Linked DNA regions of Kluyveromyces lactis. The protein of the gene in region 7 purifies or fractionates together with the protein of the main gene of each other region. This does not show direct contact. Links are inferred from orthologs where the notes say so. Each region holds a gene or a part of one and is shown on either strand. Other genes may lie near its edges.

The links.
Region 1: the proteins of PRP19 (region 7) and CBC2 purify together in Saccharomyces cerevisiae (affinity purification with mass spectrometry; 3 studies listed by BioGRID). This does not show direct contact. The link is inferred for Kluyveromyces lactis from reciprocal best matches to the Saccharomyces cerevisiae genes PRP19 and CBC2.
Region 2: the proteins of PRP19 (region 7) and RSE1 purify together in Saccharomyces cerevisiae (affinity purification with mass spectrometry; 3 studies listed by BioGRID, with this or other methods). This does not show direct contact. The link is inferred for Kluyveromyces lactis from reciprocal best matches to the Saccharomyces cerevisiae genes PRP19 and RSE1.
Region 3: the proteins of PRP19 (region 7) and CUS1 purify together in Saccharomyces cerevisiae (affinity purification with mass spectrometry; 3 studies listed by BioGRID, with this or other methods). This does not show direct contact. The link is inferred for Kluyveromyces lactis from reciprocal best matches to the Saccharomyces cerevisiae genes PRP19 and CUS1.
Region 4: the proteins of PRP19 (region 7) and PRP9 purify together in Saccharomyces cerevisiae (affinity purification with mass spectrometry; 4 studies listed by BioGRID, with this or other methods). This does not show direct contact. The link is inferred for Kluyveromyces lactis from reciprocal best matches to the Saccharomyces cerevisiae genes PRP19 and PRP9.
Region 5: the proteins of PRP19 (region 7) and SMX3 purify together in Saccharomyces cerevisiae (affinity purification with mass spectrometry; 4 studies listed by BioGRID, with this or other methods). This does not show direct contact. The link is inferred for Kluyveromyces lactis from reciprocal best matches to the Saccharomyces cerevisiae genes PRP19 and SMX3.
Region 6: the proteins of PRP19 (region 7) and BRR2 purify together in Saccharomyces cerevisiae (affinity purification with mass spectrometry; 5 studies listed by BioGRID, with this or other methods). This does not show direct contact. The link is inferred for Kluyveromyces lactis from reciprocal best matches to the Saccharomyces cerevisiae genes PRP19 and BRR2.

What each region holds. Positions count from the first base shown.
Region 1 is NC_006038.1:913,498-917,046, forward strand, and holds CBC2 (nuclear cap-binding protein subunit CBC2), read right to left. Parts: upstream 1,612-3,549; coding exon 1,015-1,611; downstream 1-1,014. Other genes in the region: KLLA0_B10450g (homeobox domain-containing protein), read left to right, coding at 1-549.
Region 2 is NC_006037.1:720,343-725,586, reverse strand, and holds the start of RSE1 (U2 snRNP complex subunit RSE1), read right to left. Parts: upstream 3,371-5,244; coding exon 1-3,370. Other genes in the region: GSF2 (Gsf2p), read left to right, coding at 4,605-5,244. UniProt on the Saccharomyces cerevisiae protein: Involved in G2/M transition. Required for pre-mRNA splicing and endoplasmic reticulum (ER) to Golgi secretion pathway. U2 snRNPs associated protein required for the pre-spliceosome assembly.
Region 3 is NC_006042.1:790,127-794,269, forward strand, and holds CUS1 (U2 snRNP complex subunit CUS1), read right to left. Parts: upstream 2,185-4,143; coding exon 733-2,184; downstream 1-732. Other genes in the region: peptide alpha-N-acetyltransferase complex A subunit NAT1, read right to left, coding at 1-353; BIL1 (Bil1p), read right to left, coding at 2,419-2,649; RRG7 (Rrg7p), read left to right, coding at 2,841-3,542; MCH5 (riboflavin transporter), read right to left, coding at 3,803-4,143. UniProt on the Saccharomyces cerevisiae protein: Essential splicing protein required for U2 snRNP binding to pre-mRNA during spliceosome assembly.
Region 4 is NC_006042.1:2,291,342-2,295,836, forward strand, and holds PRP9 (SF3a splicing factor complex subunit PRP9), read right to left. Parts: upstream 3,059-4,495; coding exon 1,466-3,058; downstream 1-1,465. Other genes in the region: CDS1 (phosphatidate cytidylyltransferase), read right to left, coding at 1-1,167; ATP-dependent RNA helicase DBP10, read right to left, coding at 3,367-4,495. UniProt on the Saccharomyces cerevisiae protein: mRNA splicing factors, PRP9, PRP11, and PRP21, are necessary for binding of the U2 snRNP to the pre-mRNA in an early step of spliceosome assembly.
Region 5 is NC_006041.1:435,964-439,343, reverse strand, and holds SMX3 (mRNA splicing protein SMX3), read right to left. Parts: upstream 1,626-3,380; coding exon 1,623-1,625; intron 1,512-1,622; coding exon 1,176-1,511; downstream 1-1,175. Other genes in the region: GPI-anchor transamidase subunit GAB1, read right to left, coding at 1,945-3,123. UniProt on the Saccharomyces cerevisiae protein: Plays a role in pre-mRNA splicing as a core component of the spliceosomal U1, U2, U4 and U5 small nuclear ribonucleoproteins (snRNPs), the building blocks of the spliceosome.
Region 6 is NC_006039.1:1,578,684-1,583,798, forward strand, and holds the end of BRR2 (ATP-dependent RNA helicase BRR2), read right to left. Parts: coding exon 1,069-5,115; downstream 1-1,068. Other genes in the region: TFIIH/NER complex ATP-dependent 5'-3' DNA helicase subunit RAD3, read left to right, coding at 1-976.
Region 7 is NC_006040.1:326,690-330,812, forward strand, and holds PRP19 (E3 ubiquitin-protein ligase PRP19), read left to right. Parts: upstream 1-1,668; coding exon 1,669-3,144; downstream 3,145-4,123. Other genes in the region: OCA5 (Oca5p), read left to right, coding at 1-1,284; KLLA0_D03905g (glutathione peroxidase), read right to left, coding at 3,439-3,945. UniProt on the Saccharomyces cerevisiae protein: Probable ubiquitin-protein ligase involved in pre-mRNA splicing.

The DNA.
Region 1 (3,549 bases), on a different chromosome or scaffold from region 7:
AATGTGAATAGTATGCTCCCGGTATCAGCTGATAGAATGGCTTTGATCAACTCTAGTGATCCTAATCCTGGTAATAAGGTTTCTCGTAAATCGAAATCGAAATCTAAATCGAAATCGTTACTCAATTCATCAAAACGTTCGAATTTACCAAAGGAAGTCATCAACGTGCTTAACGATTGGCTTTTAAAGAATTTACATAACCCATACCCTACACCGCAGGTGAAACGTGAATTATTGGAGAAAACAGGCCTTAATCCAGTTCAATTATCAAATTGGTTCATCAACGTTAGACGTCGTAAAATCTTTAACGAATATTATAAACTGAACCAATCGGTGAATACAGACAAATCGGTGAGTTCAGAAATCCTGCCTCCAGATCATGATGACTCAGTGCAACACGAGGAAGATGGATCTGATCCCCAATTGGAAATGAGATTCCGTACTATACCACTTACAAGAAGGAAAAAATTGATAGATCGTCTGGATGAATTGAAACGTCTGTCATCGAATAATATGCCCCCACCTTCTCATCGTCGACAACCATCGTGACATTTGTCGTAATGCATATCATAAATCTACACTTTTTCGGTTATCGTTTAGCATGCATGAGAAGAAGATTTTACCCCTTCATATTAAGGTGGTCTTTTCTTTCTCCTAATTCTTTATATTCTTAATTTTTTTTGTTTTGTCTACGGTCAATCTTCAATTCCAGCTGTCACGAGCTCATTATAAGGCACAGCTTTAACTTTCTTTCATTTATTAGTTTATTAGTGTTTGTCTGCTCTTTTATCTACCATCCATTCATTTCACCCAACTCCTATTGATGGATTAAAGCGGCAAAATTTTTTATTATATCGAGATATCTTTAGCTCTAATATGAACTAGCTATATATTCAAATAAAATACTTCTTACCACAGTATTATTCTTTTAAATCAATTAACTTAGTGAAATAGGTACTTAGATTGAAATGTGATATATACACATCGATAAACGACCTTATGATTGTACTGTTTTTATTGGCCTGGAATGTAAGCATCTTCATCTTCTTCATATTCTTCATCCTCTTGCTGTATTGGAATGTTTTTAACTCTTCTGGCCCCGAAGTTGGCATTTGTTCCAATTCTATTCTCAAGTGGAGTGTAGAACCCACCTCTGGACGCATCGAATTCGAATCTCATCTCATCACTAACTTGACCACCATTCTTACCTCTACCGAACTGTCTTCCCTCTTCGAACCCAGGATCCAAGTCAATGGTTATATGACGGTCATCTAACTTCGTGTCACCCAAGTATTTTATAGAATTCAATGCGTCTTCCATCTTATCGAATATAATAAAACAAAATCCACACGGCGTAAACTTGAACCTATCTAGACCCATGATAATCTTTTTTATGGTGCCACATTTGGAGAATAGCTCATATATTTGCTCTTCACTTGTGTAAAACGATAGATTACCCACATAAACTGTACAGGATTTCATAGATTTTCTCAACTGTTGCAATCCAGAATCTGGGTCACGTCTAGCCTTACGGATCAAATAACGAGAGGGCTTATCTAACCTATCACAACTGTGATCGTACTTAATCTCATCAAACTCCGCTAGAGACATGGTATTTGCTTGACTGATGCTAGTTTGGGGTATTTGGAGTTTATCTGGAGCTATGGTGTCTTATGAACCTATAGATTTTACTTAATCATTTCAATCCCAAATTTAAAGTTGAATGAATCTTTCAAGTTTTTTTTTTTTTTCCATATAAGCCATATTATAAGTACTGAATACTTTGTGTCAGTGACAGGTTGTGAAAAATCAAATAAACAAATCGGGTGGACACTGCATCGAAGCTCTTGACTGCTGAGAAAGAATAATAAGTAACTTTCAATTAATTAAATTTGAGACTATCCAGTGGTTTCTCTGGAAAAATATTGTTATGCACTCTACTTTGACAGAAATGATTCTCAATAGCCATAAGGGAAATGTGGGAAGATACCATTTTAGAATTCATAACACACCCCCATGCCACCAAGAAGAATAAGATCCCTGTTAAATAGGTGCTGATTGTTAAAATTGACTACACAAGTATTTCCAAGAGATTCAGCTACATACTAACAATATCTGAAGAGAAGGTTTCAAGTGATACTGTTTCCATAATAAAAACTAATGTTGATTTCTATTTTGTATGGTTACTATCCGATATAGTGTAACGGCTATCACATCACGCTTTCACCGTGGAGACCGGGGTTCGACTCCCCGTATCGGAGTATTTTTGAAATTTTTTGCTTTTGCCAACAACCCAACAACTGAAAATAATGAAGATCGACATTAACGAGCGGACCGTGATATATGATACTGATAACTAATCCGTCACAATATATACCACTGTAGAGGCAGTAAACTATCAAGATAGAATTAGCAGCAGTACCTGTTTACCACACATTGGATACGTAATACAATGACATATACGGTATAGACGACAAGAAAACAAACAAACTGATAGACATGAATACCAAAGTATTTCAGACATTTATGAGATGAGATATGGTTGAATTGTTATAAAGATTAGAAAACGTATGTCGAAAAACAAGTAGTTGAAAATTGTATTGGCCTAGTGTAAAAAGGAAGTAAAAATGAGAAAAAGAAATCAGTGATTGTGACAGTATTATGATATTGTATTTCAAGATTGAGAAAGGTGCGAACGAACGGAATTACTATTATCAGTATAATAAAGCCATAAAAGGAGAGAAATGAAATATTCATCAATGATTCATGATACACTATGTATGAAAATTTGTAGAAAAGGAATAGTCGTAATGAAAAAAAAAATAGATATTGTTTCATGTAAACATCTAATCGGAAGCAAACTTCTTTTATCTCTTTCTTTTAATACCGTGAGGTTTCAATAGTTCAAAGCTGCACATCAAGCCAGTAGTCACACTCATGACAGCACCCCAATTTTCGAATTCACCACAATAGTTTGGTGCACTGAAAATCGTGACCAATTTTTTCCTTGCAAAGAATTCATAGCCATCTTCTACCACCATATGCCCTCTGATAATTAAATCGAAATTGAACTTGGAACAAAAATCAGCAATGTTTTTCTTTGAAAAAGTGTAAGAGACACCACGATCATTCAGAGACCAATCGTTAATAGAAGAGTCAGGATCCGACCATAACAAATCAGTTAAAAGACCGTCGTCCGGAATATCTGTGGGCCTTTGGATTTTGCTTACTTGTTTCAAATTGGACAATTGTGGCGAGATACCACCGTGAACGCAGAATATTTTATCTTGAATGATGGCAGCGAAGGGTAAACTGTTGAAAACGTCCACGAACATTTTCCAAGCTTTAGTGGACAGTCTACGTTTACATTCATCGTAGAATCCGTACATCTTGGTGACGTTTGCAGATTCATGGTTACCACGTAACATGAAGAAATTATCTGGGTACTTAATCTTGTAACAGAGCAAAAGCATGATAGTTTCCAACGATTGTTTACCTCTATCGACGTAATCACCAAGGAAAAGGTAATTCGTGTCAGGAGGAACACCA
Region 2 (5,244 bases), on a different chromosome or scaffold from region 7:
CTGGTCGATCGGACATATTCATATGGTTCACAATCTCAAATTTCATCGGAGTATCGTTCATGTACATATGGCACAACGTTTCTAAGGTATATTGGCAAGCTTTAATGTTAGATGCGACTCTAGTGTCGCTCTCATAGTTCACCCTAAGGACCCAACAGTTACCAAACCTATCCCCACCGATAACACTCGATACATCTATGAACTTGACTGTAGTAACATGCCTTTTCACAATGTCATCTGCTACTCCAATGAAGCTGTTATTATCTATATCATACTTGAAGATCGTAACAGATTCTCTAATATCACCAACTGCTAACATGGTTCCATCCCATTGGTCTAATGCAGTTACTTGGGTAATATATGGTGGCATTTCGGTGATGCTTTTCCTCAACAATTGTTTTTTACCTAGTCCAAATAGGACAACATTGCCAAGAATGCAACATGCCAATTTATCTCCAAACGAAACCATGGCATTGACCTTACTATGCACCATTGTTTCATGAATGTATTGGGTTTCAAGAACGTTGTTCTTCACTCGAATTTGAATCACAATAAATTTCCCTGATTCAGTAGATATGACAATATATTTAACATTTGTACCGAAATTGCAACTACAGACAGCATTAAAGACCTCTTTAGCAATAATCACGACCGTATTCCCATTGTTTGTTGCCAATAGCTTATCATCGCGAATAGCTGATAGACTGGTTTCTTTATTAGCTGTCTTTGAAATAACATATGATAACGAATTGTCCGTTGTATCTGAAAGGATCCGTTGTGATTGATAACCAACGATTTCGTACTTCTCACTTGCATCTTCATCCTCATCTTCATCCTCATCTTCATCCTCTTCTTCATTGCCAGCGTTTTTAAGTTCGTCATTAACAAGGGTATACTTTTTCTCATTGAACCAGTTACTCCAGGACAAAAAGTTATCTAATTTGCCGATTAGGAGTTGCCCTTTGCTGGTTATGGAACAGCAGCCGTTGCGCTTGATATCATCCGTGATAAAAGCATTTATATGTTTCAAGGTTATCCCCTCATCTGTTTTCAAAGGACGTAATGTGATTTTATCATCAATTTCGTAAGTTACCCAAGATATGCTTGAATTCAATACCACTAGTGGAGTGAAATCCGAAATCTTCTTCTTGAAATCGTCTATTTTTGAATCATTTTCTCCAGGTTCATCATCATCATCATCTTTGTGATTGATATCTATATTGTCCAAGAGATTTACCTGGACGGGCTTCGTTCCGACAAATCTAGTACGTACATCGAACACTGTGCCATCATTGATATTGAGTTTAGATGACAGATAAACACCACTTTTCATACCTACGTGGATCTTAAGATCCGACGTGTCCCGCATGAAAAGTAGAGAGTGCGGTTTTGATATTAGTGACTGAATAGCACAGATAGTGAAAAAATCTGGATGTTTACTCTGTAAGTTGAGAATCTGCAGACTAGAATCTTCACATCCTAATACACAATAGCCTGACTTTTGACCGGCGAGCAATGCAATAGAATTCACTGTAGAATCCATCTCCACTCGATCCTGTAATTCGTTTAACGAATCTTCTATGATTTCAAAATAGCATATTTCATGATTTGTTAAAGCGACAACTAACTGTGTCTCATTACAAAATGCTGTCACGATGCCAACACCAGCTGGTGGATACCATTCAAGTTTTTTGGTGTATGGACCATCATGCATTTCAATAATTTGTAAAAGACAATCCCGAGTAACTTGAATAATACTTCTTTGAACCATAGCGCCAACAAACAATGATGGTTTGTTCAAAATAAATGGGTTTGAATCTCCACCAAAATCTTCGACAGTTCCCTCATGGATCTTCAAGATGGTCGTTGAGGTTTCCATAGAAAGAAATATCAGACTGTGAGTTTCGTTTTTAGGAATTCTAACGGTCCAAAGTTTTGATGGTATTCTAGGTAATGTAGTTGATATAAGTTCTTCAAAATCAACCGCAGAAGTCAATTTAACAAGATTCTCAGTTTGATTGGCTGCAGCCAATATCGTGAGTGGTGTCGAATTTGATGCATGAAATGACGTCAAGGGATTTAAAGAAGTTAAGGAGTCAAGAATGGATAGGTTTTTCAAAGTGGACTCTGTTTCAATAAATGATCTCCTTCCCGGGGTATAAGATGTAATTTTTTCTAGATCTTCACCAAGACTTTCGAACTGTGTTAAATAAGAGGTCCCGAATTCTGATACGTTGAAAAGAGCACCTGACTTGAAAATGTGGATGTCTTCAGAAGTGGGGAGTGTATCAAAGTATGCAATTTCAAGAACTGGCGCCTTAGTTTCTTCATCAGGGATAATTCCGACCTTGTACATATCTCCGTGGTTAGACTGCATTAGGATGAAAAAATCTTTCTTCAATTTATGAATAGTACCGTTGATGATATTAGTTGACGAAACAGTTTTTCTGACGGGGAGTTGAACAGACACTTCATAAAAGCCTTCTAAGTCTATCAGAGTCAAGTATCCATCATAACCACAAATAACAAATGGATTTACCGAATCTTGATCAGTTTCATCATTCGGTCTAGTTTTAATCTTATACTGTTGTAAATTTGGGCATTGCATAACGAAATTGATGGATTTATCCTCTAAAAGATGCTCTTTCCGGAGTAGCAACGTGTTAAGACCCAAATCCATTGTATAAAAAGACAAATAGTAATCATTTGTCCCAGATTCTACCTCTATGGCAGCATTCACCGGATTATCAAAACTTACATCACAAGCTGCCGATGCCAAAGTGATTCTATCACTTCGTTGAATCTCTATAGGAGAACCAACAACCAATTTCCCACGTTGCCAGTCAGCCAACACGCACATCTTTGAACGCTCAATCCCACTGAAAAATACACATCTACTCTGTGGATCCGAAACCATTTGATATTGAGGTACAAACCTTCTGATCCCAGATCTGGAAATCGGTTCGTTTGCCAAAGTACGCACGTACACTTTCCCGCTCACGGAATCCCTCTCAAACTGCCAAAATGTTAAATTCCCAGAATCAGTTATCAACACCAAAATCGTATGTGAACATCTATCCATATTCAACTTGGTCATAGAAAGAATAGTAGCTGCTATAGGCCATTTACCCAACGCATCCAATGTTCCATTGCTAACATCGTACAATTCGACACAATCCTGTGTAGCTAGACATAATTGCAGTTCCTTCCGCTTCTTCGATGACCTCGGTCCCTTAACACTTGTTGTATCAGCTTCTGCTGTCGCTAATGATGATCTATCCAAAGTAAAATCACCGATGCAGGAATGAACGTAGTTCCTATGTCGTTGTAAAACAGTGTGCCATAGCAACACTTCAGAGTCCTGAGTCATCCGATCTTCGTTAGCGGGTAACTAAACACACGCTTCAGACGATGATCAGAGGTGTATACTGATGGTAATCAGTAGTGTTGTTCGTCAACTTGCACTCAAGAAGTGCGCTGTTGTTAGTTACTTTGTTTACTTTCAGATTTGGTTTTTTGCCGCCCTTATGAAGAAGTTAGGAAATACTATTTCAAAAACTTACACGTGACCAACAAATCCCAAAAAGTCAACAACATGTTACCCTGACATCACGTCACACGAAAAGATGCGATCACGTGACCAGAATGACATGAGACTCCACATTGTTTCGGAAAAACTTCTGTTGGAGCAGGAGCGAAGTGCTCGTTCAAAGCGGAATAAGAAAACACAGAAACATACGCAAAGGCTGTTTATCGCTCCATATGGACGGAAAAACTTACGATGAAGAGAGCGTACAGGCATGCTTGTACGTTGAGAAAGAAAGGCACACAGTCATTGTTTTAATCCATTACGAGATCAGCATGTAATTCGATACTACTTGTTCCCTTACCGGCACTGGCTCTGGCACTGGTGTCGTTAAACGGTATCACGTTTTGGTAACCCCACAAATGTGCACCTGATGGTGCAGAAACGTAAATATGGTTCACCAAGTTCAAAGCACAAGGCGTATTACGCTACTAACTCTAAGTAGGTGTTTCTCTTCTTCAGAAAAGAAAAACACCGTATGAGGATTCAAATGCCATAGCTTGACTGGTAGACACTCTGTATTGGTTTTTTTGACTTTCTCTTCTGGTCAGAGGAGCAAGTATGAGAAAACTCTTTGTCTGTCTCTACACGTTGATTTATACATTGTTACTGGGGAAATATTAATCGGCCGCATACAGATATCGGGTGGACTCATATTGGCAGATCAGCTCTGTGTGTGTGTTTATTTTTTTCTTCTTCCTCTCTGTGTGTCCGTTCCTTTTCACCAGGAAAAACCTTAATAATATATAATAACGGAAACATGACATATGCTAAAACTTGGTAAGTACGAAATGTTTTCTTCTAGGATAAAAGGCTGAACTCTAGAGTGTAATTTACTACACCAAAGCAAATTTGCCATCCGAACCAACCAGAGACGGTATAAGGTTAAGATCAGATTACAACAAAGCAGTGCTAGTTACTATACTCAGTACTTTTTCAAGATTTATCAGAGAGGAAGGCGAATATTTCCGGTTTTGTGGGAAAATTAACATCAATAACCAATAGCAAACTAGTCGCAATGGAGGTTTACGTGCGTATGAATGATGATTTAGAGTACGATTATGCGTTTCAAGTACAAAAAGATGATACTTTAGAACAAAAAATTGCCTTAATATTTAATAAGGAAAAGGGTCTTTCAAGGTTTATGGTTTTGAAGCCATCAATTTTTTATAAGAACGAACCATCTGGTTTCAGGAAATCCATGCATCCTGGTTTCTTAACTGAGAATGGATGTTTATTGTTCGATTACTCTGCAGATGATTCAGAGTATTTAGAGGATTTGGAAGTTTCAAAGAAAACCGTTTGGGAACAATTGTGGCCTGGTCAATTAGTATTACCAAAATGGGAGAAGGACTGGAAAACAATCTGGACTTTTGTAACTATAATGCTGGTATGGTTGTACACTGATTTACCAGATTGTATTTCTCCAACGCCAGGTATCTGTCTTACAAATCAACTTTCTAAGAGATTTGCTAGTCTCGCTGATAACGCTGGTCTAACATTCGTAGCTGAAAAATTAAGAGAAGAACTTGAAATCAACTCTGTTAGTGTCACTGCTCAATGGTTATTCTTCGTTTTCCATATTGTCAAGATCGTGATATTATCTTCATTCTTCTACACTGGGTTGGTAAATCCAGTGTCTTTCAACCCATTGAGAT
Region 3 (4,143 bases), on a different chromosome or scaffold from region 7:
GCGGCCTTGAACCACTTTACAGCGTCTGAGTAATTTTTCACCTGTCTGTAATAAATTCCTAATAAGTGTCCACCAATTGGACTTACAAGAGTGCCTTTAATTTTGGATAACGCTTTATCAATGTAACTAGCAGCTTCTTCAGGTGTACTACAGAATTGCAAGTTCAATCCCTTCAAAATTATAGAGTCCACATGACTGCTGTTCTTCTTCAAGATTGTGTCCAAGATCTTCAACGACTTCTTGTAATTTTTACCTTCATATAGTTGCAGTGCTTCCAACATATTGCTGTCATCCTTAGACCTACCAATTGGAAGTCCCACTTTCCCGTGAGATAGTCCCTTTTTTTTATACATGCTAGTGTAGATCAATGGGTCGCTGAGTGTAGATAAGCAAGCCAGTAAGAGTGTTTCTCCATTTATTCAGTCATGAATATGATTGTTGAACTTGATAATTTTCATGATTTAGACGTTGACTATTGTAAATTTTTCAGTTTAGAGATACATTGAAAATGAAATGTTTGGGTTTGAACGAACTGAAGGTAATAGTTAGCAAGCGGAGCTGGTACGATTCAAGGAGTTTATTACTCACCTACTGCAATAAAGTTAAAACATGTTGCAATCCAATGATACTTTTGATATAGTTACATACTCACATTTACAAATATTTTACGTAATTAAAGGGAAACAGCTGACACTTTTGAAACGTAGGGTTTCTAACGAGTTAATGTAAAGATCAAAAACGGAAGTCAGGCTCTTCTTCCACTTTCTGTTTTTTATGTAAGACATTATCATCGTCCTTCTCCTCTACGCTTGTTGATCGTTTGTTCGTAATATTGTAAGAGGTAGTGGAACTGATTATTGTAGATCCGTCGACTTCGTTTGATTTAGCTTCCGTTAGAACAGTAAATAAGGGTCTATTTTCATCATAGTGCTGGTTGACTACAGAGCCTCCATCAATTGGCACTAAGCCTGAATTATTGTTTTCATGTGTCTCGCTTTCTGTTTTTGTTGCTTCCGCTTCATTGGCGTCTGAAGACACCTCATCGTCGGAAATTGATTCGTTCAACGGATCTGGATCAATATGTGCGTCTTGATCTTCTAATTCTTCAAATGAGAACATGGCTCCGAATAAGTTTTGTTTGGGTATTCTCAAAGTATCTTCAGGGTAGTATCCGTATTGTGTACCGGTAAGATTAGAGATTTCCCAATTTATTCCACAGACTTTCATACCAGGGTATGATTTGGGTAGTCCTAATCTATTCATTTCATGACACCAAGGCGGGAGCATCCCCTCCGTGAGATTTAATGCCTCCCTTAAAGTTTCCGATAGATACCCTGGTCTATATCGTGTCTTTATTTGTTTCCATTCGAGTTCACTATCCAAACTTCTGTTTTCATAATATAAATCACCAAATGACAATAGTTCAGGTTTCCAATTCTTTCCCAAAGTGAAAAATGCTTCGTACAACCTTTTATAATCTAGATCTAATACACCTAGCTTGGGTTGAACTTTTGCTCTGGTAATATCCTTCAATTTCTCTGCTTGCTTTTCGTTTCCAGAGGGAACAGTCTCTCGCATCGTTTCAATATCGGTTTGTCTAATAATCTCAGGTAATTGAAATGGCTTCCTTTCCATCATTGATCGTCCAGATAAATAACCTCTTTTCATTTGCCAATGTCTGGGGATCCCCACTGTATTATGTGTTGTCTTTATAGCTGCATTGAAATAAGGCCATTGCGCATCGCAGTCAAACCATTCGATGAGTTCCGGATATGGTACTGAAGCTTTCAAAACAGCAATACTTGGTTTGTTAGCAAGTCTCTTTTGTCTTTCTGATATATTTTGAAGTACTTCATCCGCTTGATCCTCAAAACTGTCGGAACCCTCAGCATCCTCATCGTCAATATCAGCCCGTTCTTTTCGTACTATGGCTTGTTCCCGTTTTGAATCATCATCCTCATCGGCCCCTGTAGCCGAAGCTTTAAATCTTTGTAACACTTTATTGAGACTTTCATCCTTGATAACTAAAGGTTCATTAATTACCTGTTGCGAGGTGTTGCCATTCTCTGATGACACTTGTTGTAACAAACTGGAAAGCCTCTTCTTCCTTTCTTCTGCATCCTCTTTCACAGATCCATTTTTATTCTTTGAACGGCGTTTATTAGCCTTGGCTTTCTTTACCATAGTGCAATATCTGGTGGGCAGTTGACTGTTGTTATATTAATAAGCAGTCGAGCCAGAATACTATTGTATGCTCATCTGTCAATTTGCCTTTTTTATGTCCTTTATTAAGACCACATATATTTTTCAATTAAATGTTGAAATTTATACCATTATATTATACGTGAACAGATATGGCAACATTCAACGGTCTTGTATACATGTGATAGATGCTATATGACTATGGATAATAACGAATCACTCTTCTAAATTCTTGAGTCTATCGTTGATTGAATCGGCGAATTTGTTAAATTGTACATCATCGTCATTCACTTTCCGCAGTAAGTCCTGTAACTTTTGCTGAATATCTGAGGCTATCTCAAACACGGTGGGAACATCTTCGTTGGAATTACCACTATTTTCTGATCCTTTTGGTTCAGGGGTAACAATTGGTTGTGTCGAAATCATCTTTTGAAGTGATGACTGCATGTATATGGCTGTATGTAAGCTAGATCAATAGACTTCAAGGTATGTCGGTTCTATGACATTTACATTTTTTTTAGTTATTTGAATCCGATCCAAATTTTGGTGATACAAATGATACATGGAGGTGATGAGACTAACAATGGCGAGAACGCCAGCTGGTCTATTTTGTCCATGATAGCCTATTAGGTATACAGATGAGTTGGAAAGGGGTTTTTGCAAGTTCATTTCCCAAAGATACTTTACAGAAGTATATTGCTGCCAATGAGAGCATCGCCAACTCTACCGTTTTTCAAGGTACGCTATATGAGCTCACGGTGGTACGAGAATTAATGAATAAGCTCCGACTGGAGGATATGCAGGTAGTTGGCGGTTCATATGATGGCGGCATTGATATTCGGGGCAAATGGAACGTTTTACCATTAACAAAGGCTATAGAAATGCAAATACAATTCGATGAGCTACCTAAACGTTTGAAACTTCCGACTACATCGATAAAACCATGGAAACATAGGGTGAAACCCGATAAATATTTAGACTGTTACATTCAATGTAAGGCTTTCAATTCAGATAAAGTTACTGGCCGCCAGGTACGGGAATTAATTGGATCATTCTCCATGCAAGTTCCCGCTCGTAAAAGAAACTCGAGCATAATGATAATGAGCTCTCCAACTTTGTTTACAAAAGATGGAATAAGGCTGTTTAATGAGGCCGCAATACCAATGGTATTTACCAAAGTGGATATGATCCAGAGATTAGCTGATGGAAGCTTCGATGTGAAAAACTCGGGAAAACTACAGCATTATTATGAGAATGACTATGCATCGAAATTACTTGCAAATTGTGGAATCAAAGAATGGTTAAAATTGAAAGGTTATGAGTCCTTAGCACAAAAATGAAATATTAGCACGCAATTACGCTATCAGAAAAGTTTAAATAGAATGAAACCTGTACATATGATGAATGTAATAAATATGATATGCTAATTAATTTAAAGATGTATAAATTTATAAAGGTTGTGTATCTGATTATGCAGCGCATGAAAACGAGATAGGAATGTATATAGTAGCCAGGTTAAAATTATGTATTAATGATGTCTCGATGTTGAAGGGAAGGCGTAAGTTTTAAAACAAGTTTGGGAATAGTTGTGGATGGCATTTTAGAATCTCTTCATATTGAAGCCCACTGCTAATGTCTTGGAAATCATATAACATATAGCAGAGACAAATGACGTGACACCGCACCAAATTACATAGTGGTCATAGCCCTTGAAACTCTTTTCTGGTCCGATGATGGCACCTGTAATAGGAACTGCTACTAAAGTACCAAATGCGACAACAAAGTACATTGTAGAATATCTTCTTCCGAATTCTTCAGTCTTTGAGATTTGTCCACAGCAGACAGGTAAGATACTGAAGATACTTCCGGAAGAAAATCCATAAATGGCACTGAATGCGAATAACACCGCTCTGGTAGTGGCAAAAGGTAACCACATCACAA
Region 4 (4,495 bases), on a different chromosome or scaffold from region 7:
GTTTTCGCTAATGAAAGTTTCGTAATACAAGTTCATGAAAGAACCCATCAAAAATTGGCAATCGACTCTATCAGTAATACCACCGTGACCCGGAATTGAATCACCAAAGTCCTTCACTTGGAATGTCCTCTTCAATCCAGACGCAAAGAAACCCCCAAATGGTGCAAATAAGGATGCGAAAGTGGCCAAGTTCAATGCATGCAAATAGACCGGTTTGATAGTAATAACGTCAACGCCAATCTTTTCAAAAATAATCGGAGGTAGTCTATAATCCTGTGGAACGAAAACAGGGTTCAACTCACAACTCAACGCTGTGAAAAAGTTTGTTTTCAAGTCTGTAACTGGACATGTCATGTAGTAATATGGTGCAAGAAGTCTGGTCAGTAAAACACTGGCAATTGCAGTGAAAAACCATGCGCCGAGGAAACCCTCTAAAGTTTTCTTTGGAGAGATTTCAATTAGTTTGGTACGACCAAAAGTTATACCACATAAGTAAGCAAATATATCGTTCACGATGACCAAGCCGCATGGCAAAAGGAACCAGATCAAACCGTTCAAAACATTGTTGATGATCAAATGTGCTTGAAAAACCACCAACAGCAAAACCATATGTGTCACACACAATGAAGCAAATTGGAATTTTAGGTAACCTTTTCTCAAACTGCAAACGAATATAACAAAACCCAAAACATAGAGACAATAACTAATGAACTTGTGATTGGATGCCACGAAATTCAAAACGGTATACTTCACGAAGGTATCGTTGAAGAACTTGAAAAGTGATTTACCGTCCAAATAGTATATCGTAGTAAACAAAAAGTACCAGTTCAAAGTTTTCGTTAAAGGGAGGTTTTTTTCACGTCCTGATTGTCCAGTAACTGCAATGCATTCTTTGAAAGTGGCAATTTGGCAACCCAAAATCAAGACAACACACCAAAAGTGACCAGAAGCCAAGATGATAAAAAAACCTGCAATCATAACAAATGTCCAAATGGTTCTAACAGCAAAATTATATAGTTTTGAATCTTTTTTGACTTCAACCTTGGAGTGTTTTTTGTAATCTTCAACTAACCGTGTTCTCGATGTTGTTTCTCGATGTTGTTTCTGAGGTGTTGAGGTTGCAGATCCACCACGGGAGGTGTTACCAGTTCTTTTTTTGACTGTCATCACTTTTATATTCCCGGTTAGCAGATTGTAACGTGCTTAGATCAATAAGATGCTGTGAAGTAGAGATCTGTTTCCTTACTCATGCGAGTGATGATGCTCTTCTTTTTTCTTGGTTGATTATATATTTCCACCATCTATTCCAAATGGATAATTTTCTTCGAACTTCAAGATCATGTGACATGTGAAAAAAAAACCATGCTCCCAACTTGTGTAAAGTTCCTCTACATACATACGATATTTACAGATGCAGCAATAAGGGAGAGTCTTTCCATTTTAGCATGTGTGTAGGATTGAAAGGTCAGAGAAGGCCCTGTTTCTTAAGTTCTTCGTATACTTGAACACTCATCACATTACCTTCATTGTCCTCTGTTTCAAGTACCATTTCCGGTTCTTTCACAGTTGATATTTTGGAAAAGGGTTCACCTGACTTTAGTGTACTCTTTGCTTGCAATGCTTTCCATAGCTCTGTCACCTCTACTATAGTAGTGACATCTTTGAATGCAAGAGAAGGAGTTATGCCTAAAGATTTCAAACCTTCTGAATGTTTTTTCAGTGGGAAATGTTTCTCGAATTCTCTACGCCCATGATATATTTGATTACCGCAGATCTCGCAAACATATTTCACATCTAAACCTTGGACTTTGATGAGCCAGCGAGGTATAGGAAATCCGTCAGGTCCTAATGGTAGGTTGTATGGATTCGTTGGATCCATACTCTCTTTTTGAGCAGTATCTTCAGCATTGTCAATATAAGATGGTTTATCTTCAGATTCATCTTTGGCGTATATGGGTGATTCATATTGTTCTTGTAGCTTTTCCAGCTCTTCAGTAAACTCTTCATCTGTGAATGCAAGTTTTCTTTCCGTGAATGATATTGTATTTTGCAATACTTTAGAGAGAAATTTGGAAAAACAGTGAAACGTGTATTCCTTCATCAAACGCTTTCTATTCCGAGACAATGCAATATTAAACTGTTCAGTTTGAACATGAGTATTAAATTCCGACTGACTATCAAACCATCGATTAAACACAACGGAGTACATTTTCCCGCTTTCCTTCGATGGGGATTCTGTGATACCGGTCCTCACATATTTATCAAATCCATTGTGGATGGTTTTGGAAAGAATTTCCTTGTCCACTAGAGGATAAGCTTTGGAGTAATAGGCCTTATAATATTTCAGTAACTCAGTGACTAATTGGTTATATTCCTTGGTGTCTCTATCTAATGATGGGTTGAGTAAGTAGTCGTATGTTTCAAATGATTCTAACATCTTCAAAAATGAAAGTATCGTTAAATCCGCACGCTTGATGATATTCAACCACTTCTTGAATTGTTCTGAGAGATCCAAATACGTCCCAAAGTTTTCATCTCTAGCAAAGTTTCTTGAAAGATCAATTATTTGTCCTATGGGCGATATGATGTTCTTACTGGCAGCTTGAGGGCCAGAAAACATCTCATAGTCAGATTTGACTTCAACCAGAGAACGTGAGTTTACTTGACCCTCTAATACTTCTGTGGTGACGGTTTCAAACTGTTCAAAGCTAGCGTTTGTATCCCTAAAGTATTCTAAATGTTCTTCACTCAATTTGTGCTTTTGCAAAGATTTCAACAGTCTTCTATATCTTCCAAGAAATAAGGCGATTTCATATTCTTGTGCTTTGATTTGCTTTCTAGAACGTTTGCTTTTCTTGCTCCTGTAAATCCTGTTGGCAGAAACGTCTAGCTTAGGTACCGCCCAAGCTTCAACTCCCAGATTATGCAGTGCTTCGTTAAATCTGTAAAAGATTTCTGGATTTCTTCGTAGTCTGGACGAAATAGCATCCTCGATGACTTCTAATTCTTCTAATATCTTTCGCCTCTCTTCAAAACATAGATAAGTGGGGGCATTCATATCTATTGTCTTCTATGAATCCTCTAACTGCTACACAGACAGTAAACCGAAGGCACGGTATTCATTTTGAGCCTTCATCTGATCCATATTTGTACTTTCTAAGGTATTTCCATTCTTTACATTTTTATTTTCTATAATCAATGGCAATTTCGACGTATGAGGAACAAATACTAGTAAACAATGTAAACCAGCAATACAATATGTCACATATCATAACAATAATTTGGAGAGAGGCCATTTCATGTTTAAGCTTAGAAAATGTCTATTCAATTACACACTGATTGTTATTTGAGCAGTTACATAATATACTAATGTTTTCTCCGCTTCGTAGGACGGGCATTCTTGGAACGCTTTTTCTCTTTAATTTCTCTTAGCTTTCTAATCTCGTCAACTGACTTTATTTCTTGTTTCATCCCAGGACCATTATAACCCTTAACTCTAACACCTCTTTCCAAAGCAGCTTCCACTTTTTTCTTTTGGAAAGCGTAATCGTCTCTATGTTTATCAGGCAATTTAGGAGCTTTTTGAGTCTTGTGTTTGAATTTACCGCCAACCGTACGCTCCGATGGAGAAGTCGGATCAGCCAATAGATTCGATGGAATAGTGGATTCTCTTGCACCAACTTTGAGTGGAGCAATTTTTCTTGCCTTAGACCAATCTTGGAATTTTCCGGATCTGAAACTTGCAGGAATCTTTTGACCACTTTCTCCGATGATGTACTTTTTGTTGTCCAAACCTTGAGTGTTCACATATTTCTTACGCTTCTTGTCCCACTTAACCGTAGCTGTTTGCTTGTGAACTTGTACCTTGTCATCGTTGGCTAGATCAAATGCAGCATTGGAAGCATCATTTGTGAAACCAGATGATATCTGTAATTGTTTATCTTGAATGTCACTAGTTGGTGCGAAATGTGATAGATAAAAAGTTGGATCTCTGAAAGTTTTCTTCTGCTTCTTCTTAATATTTTCTTGCTCTTCTAACAAGACATCGGCATCTTCAAATTCTTTCAATACCTCATCAGGCACTGAGTAACCAACTTCGTTGTCTTCACCTTTCAAAATTTCATCTTCTATACTATGCCTCAAACCAATCATTCTCTCTTTTTCCAGAAGTTCTTGTCTTTCTTTTGCCTTCCTTTGAATTGGAGCTATTTGTCTCCTCCTTCTCTTCATTAACACAGACATTTCATCGTCTGGATTCCTTGCGAACTCGAATACAGTTTCCTTGTTATTTCTGTGTTGCAACTTAGCTAAGAAATCCAATTTCTCTTTTTCGGCGTTCTTACCGAAGTATATATTCTGTTCGTCCCATCCTGATCTGAGAATTTCCTTTGACCTTTTCATGGATTCAGCAGACGCTGGTGTCCTGGTTCTAAAGTAAAGTTTTTCGGCTTTCAGGGCAACACCTTTCACAGTATTTAACTCAAAGTCAGATTTG
Region 5 (3,380 bases), on a different chromosome or scaffold from region 7:
GCACTTAATTGTGCAGGACAAGGAAGAAGCGCAACCGCTGCAGTTTATTGCCTTAAAATACCAACATGCACTTCACCAAAGCTTTATTTCAACAAGCTCAGCCAAAGCCAGTTTCTCCACATGCAAGAATCTACAGGGTCTGGGGAAAACCAGTCAGCAAGATGGTACTATTTAGTGTAGGCACCTATTACATCCTTTACTGGGCATGGGAACTGTTAGAAAAGCAAGAGCAGAAGCATGTACCAAAGAAAGCTACAGAGGTAATTTGTAAATGAACACCATCACTGCTTTCATTTCGATGACTGAATTCAGGTCATGATCTATTCGGTAATAGAATCTCACAAAAGTATTTAACTTTGAGCCAAAGATATCGGTTTTACCGCAAGACGGGCACATATATTGTGATATAAAGGGTAATCCTCATTTCGCTATTACTTTATGATTATATTTTATTGCAGTGACGAGGCCAACTTGCTGGCAGTCGTCATCGAATCTTAAATAATATGTGCATTTTATACTGATCATTGCATACAAGAAACTAAAATTATATTATCCTGGGAAGCGTAATTCAATTCTGTTAAAAAACACTGGTACCGACGACACCTAATTCAGTTGAAATGCTCCAGGTTCACCTTAGCAATATACTCTGGCCTAAAGTGACTATTATAAATAAGGAATGCTGCCACTCCATTTCATATAGAAGATGTTATAGATAAAAACCTTAAGAATGAAGCGGTGGCTCAATGGTAGAGCTTTCGACTCCAGTTAAATCCTGGAAATTTCTATGGAAACAAAATTGCAATCGAAGGGTTGCAGGTTCAATTCCTGTCCGTTTCATTTTTGCATTTTTTTTGGAAATCACTACCCCAACTCAACTGGAAAACTAGTAAGCAATAAGAAATCCATGGTGGCTGGAACAGCTGTTACACCGTGAACGAGACCTTCTTGGAATGAAAAACATAAGGTATTAATCTCTAGAGATTTTTTTAGAATGAGCCTTTGAATTGTAAAACCTACATAAACTATACTATCATTAATTATACTAATACTAATATTCCCTTTATTAAGATAAGCAGTTCCCTAATTCTATTACAACTGAGGAAAGCTATACAGTGAATCCATAATTATTCCGATGTTTCCTTGTTTGCTTCAATAATATTCAGACTAGTGCTATATTAATTCGCTTCTTCTGCGAGTTCTCCATTTTCCTCTTTATCGTCAGATTTCTCTGTTGTTCCAGTCGGCGTAGGGGGTTGATCACTTTGCTTGTTCACATCCTCTCCTACGTATAGCACGTTATTACATCTGATGAAAATGTCCCCAACTTTCCCACTTGAGACATCATTTATGATCTCTTCCGCATCTGTTAGTTGTAGATTGAAATATGTATCTACCGATACAAGTCTTCCTTTATATTGTATTTTATTGAATTTGAGTGTCACCAGCACATCTTTGTCTATCAATTGATGTAAAAAGGGTTTAGGGTTAATTGGTTTGAATTCCTCTGGATCCTGCAACGTTTAAATTGGTTAGTAAGGTGACAAAATCTGTGGATTCATCGATCGCAGATGGACATAATCGTCCTAGCTGCGACCAAAAAAGTATGGAACAAGAAAACTTACCATTTCAATACGTTAATGCGCGGGTGTTCTGATATGTATCGATTACACGATATAATTCGAGAATCTGTTAAAGGTTTTATTACGTCTGTTGGTTGCTACGTAATGTTTTCGTTGTCTATCTTTTTGCAATACTGTATTTTCATGTTTTTCAATATGGCATGGAAATATTAGATGCCCTACCAAGGGAACAAATAAAACAAACCAAAGTAGTCCGGACAGTTTTCAAAAGTTTTTATGCCATGCACTGGGTAAGTCATACTTAGATATATATTAAATAATGACAATACGATATGTTTCTTCCAACAGAAGGAACAGGGTTCATTCAAATTTGAGTCAGTTTTAATGAAAGGTTTGGTTTACCTGAATCGTATTCAATTCTTAACATGGCCCACGTCAAATCCACAATCACTGACGAGATGGCTAACGCATAAACCAAAGAAATGGCATAGAAAAAGTTACTATTACCGGAGCCTAATCCAATCCATAGGTAGTAGAAGATTGGTGACAAAATGATGGCATGAATGAATAAAAGGGTTGATATGACTGGATATCTTAGATACCCAAAGATCGGTTTGAAAAATGGGATAAAACTTAAGAAAAACCCTCCGTCACCTAACGTTGGGTATGATTTGGTGAGCGTAATCCAACCTAGACATAGAACAAATGCGTAAAACGATTGCTGATTGAATCTAATAGTGAAAGGTGGGATAAATGAAACAACAAATATGTTGAACACAGATTTGAAAAATGGGATGAAAAATTCGAACATTTCAATAAAGAAATACCACCACAACCCTAGATTTGGCCTTATCTTACTGAAAGTAATCAATATCCAGTATGTTGAAGTCAAATAGTTCCAGTTATCGTTATTTAACTTGAAACTGATCAACTGCAAAACAATCGATACCAATGTACACTTGACAACAAGGCCGAAAGAATTTGATCCACAGATTCCTGCCAATGGGATCAACAGTAGATAAGCGTAAGGTGATAAATAACCAGCCAACGCAATGCATATGGCTGACAGTGAGAACTGTCTAGATAACGCAAATAGTAAAGAAGTAGAAATGGAAAGGTTCACAAATAGACATGTCGATTGTGAGACACATGATAAAAGTACCAAAGGGTTCACTGCATAAACCACACCTGGAATATAACTAGGAATTTGCAATTGGCGTTGATATATCTTAGCTATTTGCATCAATTGATACGCTATTAGAGTGTCCATGGCCGCAAACAAAACGGGCATTAGAAACTCCGCTTGTTGAACGAATGCCATTAAAGCTACCAGCAGAGGCACATGATGCACAACACCACCATCATAAATGGGCAAATTATGCAGTAAAAGATACGCACCTTCTTGCAGAGATCTATAGCTTGTAACCGGAGTAGAAAACTCAACGGTTCTGTCCAATTGCTGCTGCAAAGAAGGGAACAGGTACGAAACAGCCAATCTGGACGCAAAACAAGCCCATACAACCTGCCATTCGGACGAAACCATAATCACCTCAAGCGACACAACAAGTCAACACAGTAGGGTCACTTCGTATCCTCTCAGAATCGTATCACCGTTCAATGCAAAAAAACAAACCAATCGTGAACCGAGCTTCGTAATTGCAGTACAAATTATGCATATTTGAAAGCTTATTGTATTGAAATGAAGTACATCAGTTAAATCAATGGTAATACAAAAAGTGATCCACACAAACATTACCCGGACACGTGAACAGTTTACTCTAATACGTGTTTACATATCAC
Region 6 (5,115 bases), on a different chromosome or scaffold from region 7:
ATCGGTTATTATCACTTCGGGTACCATATCCCCGTTGGATATGTACCCTAAGATGTTAAATTTCGAAACTGTATTACAACAATCTTATTCGATGACTTTAGCGAAAAAATCATTCTTGCCAATGATTTTAACAAAGGGTTCTGATCAAGTGGCAATATCATCTAGATTCGAAATTAGAAATGATCCTTCCATTGTTCGTAACTATGGTTCGATGTTGGTTGAATTTGCCAAAATCACACCCGATGGTTTGGTCGTTTTTTTCCCATCTTATTTATACATGGAATCCATTATTTCAATGTGGCAAACTATGGGTATTCTAGATGAGGTTTGGAAATACAAATTGATCTTAGTGGAAACTCCCGATGCACAAGAAACTGCTTTAGCATTGGAAACATACCGTAAGGCCTGTTCTAACGGACGAGGAGCCATTCTTTTGTCAGTTGCGCGTGGTAAAGTGTCTGAGGGTATCGATTTTGACCATCAGTACGGAAGAACTGTACTCATGATCGGCATTCCGTTCCAGTATACAGAATCTCGTATTCTTAAGGCAAGACTAGAGTTCTTACGTGAGAATTACCAGATCCGAGAGAATGACTTTTTATCTTTTGATGCAATGAGACATGCAGCTCAATGCTTAGGTAGAGTTTTACGTGGTAAAGATGACTACGGTGTAATGGTGTTGGCAGACCGTAGATTTGCAAGGAAGAAAAGTCAACTACCAAAATGGATTGCACAAGGTTTATCTGATGCCGACATGAACTTGTCCACGGATATGGCTATCGCCAATACTAAGCAATTTTTGCGAACCATGGCACAACCAACTGATCCAAAAGATCAAGAAGGTGTATCTGTGTGGAGTCATGCACAGTTACTGGCGCACCAAGAAAGTGTTAAGAAAAAGCAACATAACGGGTTTGTTGATTCGGATGTGACAGAAGTCAAGGATAATGACGGGGACATTGAAATGAAGGATTAGATAAAGGGATTCTACTCTGCTTATAGAAAGAATTTTATTTTAATTTATATTCACTGCATATATACAGTACTTTCTTTTTATTTATGCATTTACTATGCGATGTTAACATTAAATGTTACTTCCTTATCGGCATCCAAGTAAGAATCACATACACACCATATTGTTAGTTCATGATCACCAGGATCTTCCAATTCGATTTCCAATTCGTAGTCCTGGGTCATTTTTGTAAGCGCGATCTTCCTGATAGCATATAGCTGCCTGGAGCTCTTTTCACCGATGAATATCCACCATGCTTCAGTTTTTTCATGTGGCAACGACTTTGAGCTAACATTTAGTGTTTCTGGTTCTTCATCTCTACTTACTGTTACAGTAACCATTTTTTTGTCGTGAGGTTTCATCGGTGCTGACATATCTAGAGCATACTTCAACTCAATGTTTGGATAACTGTTGACAAATTCTGCGACTTTATTCAACTTATTTTCCGGTAAAGTGATGATATCTTCTCTTTCTTCATCCTCTAAAGCCATCACGTCATAAACTGTTTCTACATTATGGTTTTTGCATTTCTCCAAGATGTCTGTATCAAAGAATGGAATTTGTTTCAAAGGTGAATCAGTATCCCACACACCTTGAACAATCATTTGACTTAAATCCATAGCAGTAGTGGCATTCAAATAACCGTTCATTGACAATATATCTACCATTGTTCCTGCTAAGCTAGGTGCTTTTGAAAGGATTTCAGACAAATCAAGTGATAAGTCCATGGGTAAATGAAGACCTGAAAAATGGGCCTGCAATAACACAAAAACCTTGGCTGTTGTGGAGCGTGGATCGAATTCGGAGGACAACTTCAAAGGTGAAATGTCGTATAATTTTCTTAATGGCTTTATATCATGTAATCTAAGAGGCAATGTCTTAAACTCTTCACTTGAAGACAAAATTTCAAGAATACCGCTCATTCTTAGTGATCTTGATGCTGCTCGGCTAAAATTGCATATCGTTAAACAACTTACGGCATGGATAGCAGAAATAAGACAGGCATTATTCGGGGAAATTACCTCCTCTGCAATTTCTGTGGAATCGTTCGCTTCCCCTTCAACTGATATAAGCTCGGTTTCCTTCATGGTTGTTACTGCTTCCTCTACTAATTCTGTTAAATAGGAGGAAATTTCGTCTGCAGTCACATCTTGAATACCGTAGAAACTTGGATTTGCATGTATTCTACGATATAGATAAGTGTAAGTTAAAAGGTCGATACAGTCTTGCTTGGTTTCTAATGTTTGGTTTGCAAACTCCGTTGTAAGTAAATCAATAACATGGTATGGCAGAGAACTCTCCGTTGGTAACCCATCACAAAGGAATTTTTTATAGTATTCCTTCCTTTGCATTGTGGTGATTAGTTTTGCATGTGCTTGCTGTTTATTTGACGCCGTAAACGCTGTTCCCATCATCTCAAGAATAGTATTTACAGGATAATCGATGTATCTGTTCTCCCTGCCTTCAAAATATTGAGTTGTAGTAACAAAGACAAAACTTGATGAAGGGGCATCAAAACAACAATCCCTACTTGCAACCAAAATCGATATCACCTTGTATTCATGGAGCTTACGGACTACATTCCTATCGGAATAATGCATACCTTGGTATAGAATTCCTATACCACTTTGCAACAGTGTCTTGAGGTTGCTGTCCTGGACCTTGTTGAGATACGAGTGTAAACTGGATTCCTCTGCTCTAAGAAGATCAATGCCTTTAGCAACAGCGAGACCAACGAGTTCTGTCGCGAAAGAAACGCATTCATATCTGTCAGTGACGAAAACTGTTATAGTTTCATCGGGTGAGGCGACACGATTACTACTTTCAACGATCTCAGTTAGGGCCATTCGATTAGAAGTAGGGCTTTTTACTAAAATGCTAGTTTCGATATCGACTGTCAAGGGTGTTTGCCTTTCTAAAGCAGTAAAATTGAAAATACTTGATTTTTTTGCACCTAACCATTCTCCGAAATCCTTTGCGTTGGCAAGTGGGGTTCCAAGCCCCACAATCCTTATATTCTTCTCCAATTGTGTTGCAATGAAAATCATTCTCGTAATTATGATTTCATACATCGGTCCAATTATCTCGTTGCCTATTTCATGGATGTCATCACAAATAATTAGTTCTATTCTTTGAATGTTTTTTCTTTCCGGCCAGCGACGAGACAGGTATTCAAATTCATTCGGAGTAGCTAATATTAGATGAGATTGGGCTAATTGTTTTTGATCGTGCTGCAAATTTCCAGAAAAAGCATTGATCAGTTTTCCACCAGCCAAATGTGAGAATCGCTTTTTCCAATTCTTTAGAAGTTCAGTTATCTTGGTTTTGAATGGACAAATGTAAATCGCACGTCCTCTGCCTTCTCTCCAATGGTTCAATAATGAAAGTTCTGCCATTATTGTTTTACCGGAACCTTTTGTTGCACATATTAGTGCGTTTTCAGTTTCATGGTATAATGTATCGAAAACTTCAGTTTGAACTTTATTGAAAGAATGGAAATTGTATAACGCCTCAAATTCATCAATTTGTAGTTCCTTGGTACTTTTCTTAATTGAATCAGAAACAGATATTGCAGGAGGGAATGGTTTAGGTAATTTTATTTCACTCAAAATAACAGGAATCTTGTACTCACAGTTTAGCCATTTTTCTGATATAACGGATACAAAATAGTTCGGCGGTAACATTTTCTGCTTCAAAAATACAACAAAGTCAAGATACACAATGCTGTTTATTGCATTTCTCCCAACATGCAATGTCTCATGATAAATTGTTTGTTCACCGTCTGTGTCTTCGACAAGAACAAGGAATGTTTCAGAATAGCTGCTGGAATCCAGATCCCAGATCCATGTAGGTTGGAGTTCCAACTCAAAACGAAGTAGTGAATTTGTAACTGGCTGCATTGCGCAGTGAATGCCAATCTTCGGGAATCTTTGAAGCAAATCGAAAGCAACTTTACCATTTTTTGGAGATCTTAAGGCTTCGCCTACCTCATGAGCATTCTTCAACAGTAAGAAATCGTTCCAGGGTAAACCAGACGCTTCTGCTCGTCTTATGATTTCTTGAGGGCATCTCTTGAATTGCCTAAATGGTGAGTTCGTGGGCCACATTCTGCTATCGACGCATTTACAGATGGTAAGCAGAAGCTTGGTTAGTCTTGGCCATCCTTTTCTTAAGCACATTTCGAAGAGTGCTCTGAAAAGTCTACCTGCGCTCTGAGAAATGTAAATCATATCCGCATTTAAAGCGAACCCCTCCAATCGTAATTTTGAAATGTACACCTGAAGTAGAATGTTTGCCTTGGCTAATGAATCAGTAGCCTTCTCCTTGATCGGAATTGGACAACGCTCGACGAGTTTCTCTAATTCAGTTTTCTCTTCTTGTCTTACGGTAATGTTCTTAAACTCTTCTGACATAGCAAATATTCTCAGAATGTCGATCAAAGTGCTGTTTATTGTTAACTCCCGGTTGTATTTTGCAATTGACGAATAACTTATGTAGAAATGAGAGGATATTCTACCTAGCTCAGTTGGTTGTACCGACTTAGAAAGAGAGTCATAGTTTACAAGACCGTTATTCTGTAATAAATTCAACGCCGTATGCACAATATTTCTGTTGACTCTTATGAGCTCAGCATCACTCATGTCTCCTGAAGAACCTTGCAAGTTGTATAAATGAGGTGATTGCTTCATCCGTACTGATAAATAGGAATAACCCAACCAGTTAACTGCTTCATCTAGTGAGGTGACGTTACCTAGAACTATTTCAGCATTAAGATTATCAACAACTTTTGAAATCATTTGAGATTCTATAGGGAGTTGTTGGTTCAACACAGCGAGATAATAACGTACGTCTGATTGGTTTGTAATAATGATCCCTTCACCATTTACGTCGTATCTCGGCCTACCAGCTCTTCCTAACATTTGAAGGATATCTTGTGGGGGAAGCATGACCCAATCACTTTTCTCCGGTGAATACATTTCTGTACCTTTAATTATGACAGTGTGGGCAGGAAGGTTAACACCCCATGCTAAAGTTGCTGTGGAAACAAGAACTTTTAGCAAACCATCAGCAAAAAGGTCTTCGGATAAAGATCTATCATCCTT
Region 7 (4,123 bases):
GAAGATAGAAGTGAAGAAGATATTTCAGAGTTGATGGAAAATGACTTGAACAAGTACTTCCAAGTTAGAAATTCAGTCCCGGTGTCCGCAGAGATCCAGGAGATCAAATCTCTATTGAAAGAATGTGTATGGCAGTTCTTGAGAAAATGGAACAAAATCTGTAAATATGAGTCGGGGCTCATCTGGATAGCTCTTGGCTTGGCAGAATGGTGTCCCTTGAAGAATAACGATGATTTGGTCTTGGCAGGTCGGAAACACCATCATCATAACTCTTGTCTGAGACATTTATATGAGGAATATCCAATTCCTGATGAACTACTGAATCAATTACCTGATACCGAGTTTGATTTTGCCGCTATCTATGAGCGTTTAGTATTAGTGTTGTTTCATGCTCCAGCATTAGACGAAAAACCTGATAAATCTAATTATCACCTACTTAAGAGTGGGAATCTGAATCAACAATCGCAATTGTTCTTCAAGGTTTTCGCCAAGACGTTACCCGAACTGTATCAACCCATCACTGATGAAGGCGCTTTGCAAGGTTCCAAGAAGGCTACTTGGTTGTATTGGTGGATCAAATGTTGTGGTTGCAGAGTGTTGCATCGTCAGGATAGAGGAAGAGTATGGGATGTGTTGCTCGGATGGAGACCACGTCCTGAATCAATCAACTATTATCTCGAGTACAACCATAAATCATTTGAAAGCATTTATCCACCTGAATTGAAACTGAGTTCAGAGATTTTCCATAAGATTTGCAAATGTGAACATGATGAGTTTTGGTTCCCAGATTTGATGTCGTTAAGGCTCGGTCAAAATGGATTGAACCAAGATGAAGATGTCATTCGGGAATTGATACGAAGAAATAAATATGGGGACGATGGTCATACTACAGAAACACAAGAAAATGAGATTCCATATTCGCTCTTGAACCCTCATGCGGAGTTACTTTTCATATATGTTGCCATTATGCAACATAACGAATTTAAACTTTTAGAGTTTGAGGAAACAGAGATCACCGAGTTCTTAAATAATGTCCCACTGATATCAAAATTCGATGACTACAACTTCAAGAAGATGTACGAGGATGATGACATTAGTGGAAGTTCGACAGACACAGATGAATCCAACGCTTCAGGAATTAGACCAAGTTCTTCAAATCATATGATGATAGAGGTCGGTACTGACGATAAGACTGCACACTCGTTTGATGACATCTACCAGCAGGCTGGAGACATCTGGAGAAATTGGGCTTGGCAGGAAATGGAAGAATTCATAGAAGAATGATATATCAGCATTATATTTGTGTCTTTCTTGTATGTAGTATATCTTCTTTTCCTTTAATTAGCATATATATATATAAAAATACTATATACATCTCGAGCTCTATGAATATTGCAGATTGTATTCTAACCTGTTGGAGCGTTCTAACCAGCCAACTAAGATGTGAGTTGATTTGTTAAATAAAGTCATTTCTTCATCCAGTATTTTTTTGCATGTTCAAAAGAGAAACGAAAGCATTTTTATTTAACATTAGAAAACCAACATAAATGTTACATGAAAGATGAAGCACCGATATACATAATTAGATAATGGCTTCAAAAAGGAGAACCTTGGGGCTTACTTCTGGTGAAACTACTTAAGGACTGGCTAAATTGAGGTACGCTAATTATGTTCTGTGCAATTAGTGGGAAACCACCTATAAAAGCTGTTCTTTCACCTAATTCCAAATGTATATTTGAACAGCATCTAATCGAACAGTATATTGAACAGAAAGGAACAGATCCCATAACGGATGATCCATTACAAAAAACAGATTTGGTTGAAATCAATGCGACTCCACAGCAGATATCACTTTCAGAATCATTGAGCTCGTCTACTATCGCAAACAACTATAGCATTCCAAGTCTATTGTCAACTTTGCAGAAAGAATGGGATGCAGTAATGCTCGAGAATTTCGAATTAAGGAAGCAGTTAGACGTTTGTAAAAAGAATCTCAGTGATACACTTTACAGGTTTGACGCTGTTGCATCAGCGGCAGCAAAAGCTTTTGTAGAGCGAGATCAGCTGAAGCAAGAATTAGCAGAACTTACATCGGCAATAACTTCCTCGAATGTCGAAAATGATGGAACTATTGATAAACTCCAGAACTCAGACCAAATTCTATCAGACTTTACTTCAGAATTATCGACGAAATCTCAAGAGTACGTGACAAATTCCAAAAAGTCTAAGAAAAAGCTACAACACTTCTCCAACGTTTCAGTCGTTCAATCGACAGATTTCTCTGAAATTGATTTGATTAGCAGAAATCAGCATGTCAATCTTAATGAAAGATCTGTTGTTGTAAAAGATAATGACAAAGCTTTTGTGTTTGGACCTCAAGATTCTATTCTTGATGTGTCACAAGCCACAGAATATCTGGTGGAGTTTAAAGACGTTCTATACACCTTCACCCAGGGACTATTAGCAGCGTATGACCTTCATACAAAGTCTTTGTTGTATGAAGAAGTTTTGGAAGGAACTGATGGGCCAGTGATATTTATGGCTTATCCTCATCAAATATCGGATTCTTACTTCTTATTCGTAACTGAAAGAGGTACAATATATGGGTATGAAGTTACCAAAAAAGCACTGTTCACCATCTCACAAGTTAAATTGAACGATTCCGTTCAATTTGTGAATTATCATAAAGATGGAGCTCTTCTTGCTATTGGTAACCAAAACGAAGGTGTATATGTAATAAACCTATTGGCTGCTACAAAAGATCCGATTAAATTTTCAACTGGCTTCCCAGCTAAAAGAGTAGACTTTGGTTTGAACGGTTATTGGATGTTTGTCTTTGGTGATTCTGACTTGAATGTTTACGATTTAAGAAAGGATCCAGGCACCTTGGCAATGGAACCACTTTCTTTCGCTGAGAATATCATCAGTGTGGAGTTGGACGATACAGCTAAAGGTTTTTTCGTAAGCATGGGTAATTCACAAGTACAATGGTATGAGTATGTTAAGGGACAGTCATTTGTCGAAAAATCTACTCTTCCGATCGAAACAAATACAGCAGAATCCATGACATTGGTAAAAATAGATCAAGGATATTTCTTGAACGTCATCTCGGAGAATAAATGCATAACATATGAGTTGAAGTAGATATATGATACTTGTCCTAAATAAGGTATAAAAATTGTAATTATTAGAATAATCACTGATTTGATGGTGAGAGTCGTTAAATATATGATCCGATAATACGTCGAAAAATGAACATGTATGAACTCGCCCCCATATATGTACGTGATTTCATCGTAAAAAGAAGTGAAAATCATGCTCTTTAAATATCGAACTGTGTTTGTGTTTTTCTTGCAAGTGAATAAACGGGAAAGAAGATGGCATTACAGAATATGAAAAAGGGATTACCCCGAAGAACTCTTCTTTACCATCTGCTAGTCATGATTGTAGTTGGCTTTTTTGTTTTAGTAATTGTTCGATGTCTTCCTTCATACTTTTCGGTTTCGTCAACGTGGAATACCGTCCATGGACTCTCCCTGAGCGATCGATCAAAAACTTCTCAAAATTCCATCTAACGAACGTGAACCCAAACATTCGCGGTTGTTGATCTTTCAAGTACTTATATAGCGGAAGAGCATTGACACCATTCACTTTACACTTCTTCATTATTTTAAAACTGACACCGTAGTGCTCCTGGCAAAATTTTCCTATTTCTTCATCGGAACCAGGTTCCTGGTTCATGAACTGATTGCAGGGGAATGCTAATATTTCAAACCCTTTTGCATGGAATTCTTTGTACAACTCTTGTAGCTCTCCATATTGACCTCGGAAGCCACATTTCGATGCAACATTAACTATAAGAACAACTTTTCCTCGCAGTTCACTCATATGATATTCAGACCCATCTTTAGTTTCACAAGAATAACTGTAGAAATCGTCACTCATCTAACTTGGAACTAATTTCTTTCACTCGTAGTACAAAATAACTGACCTTCGTAGTAGTTTCCCTCTTGATCAACCCAGCACTAAAGCCTGCCTTTCTATGCGAAGTGCTTTGCCAACATGTTCATTCATAAACTTATATATACGTACACATATATATATAGTTGATAACAAGAAATAA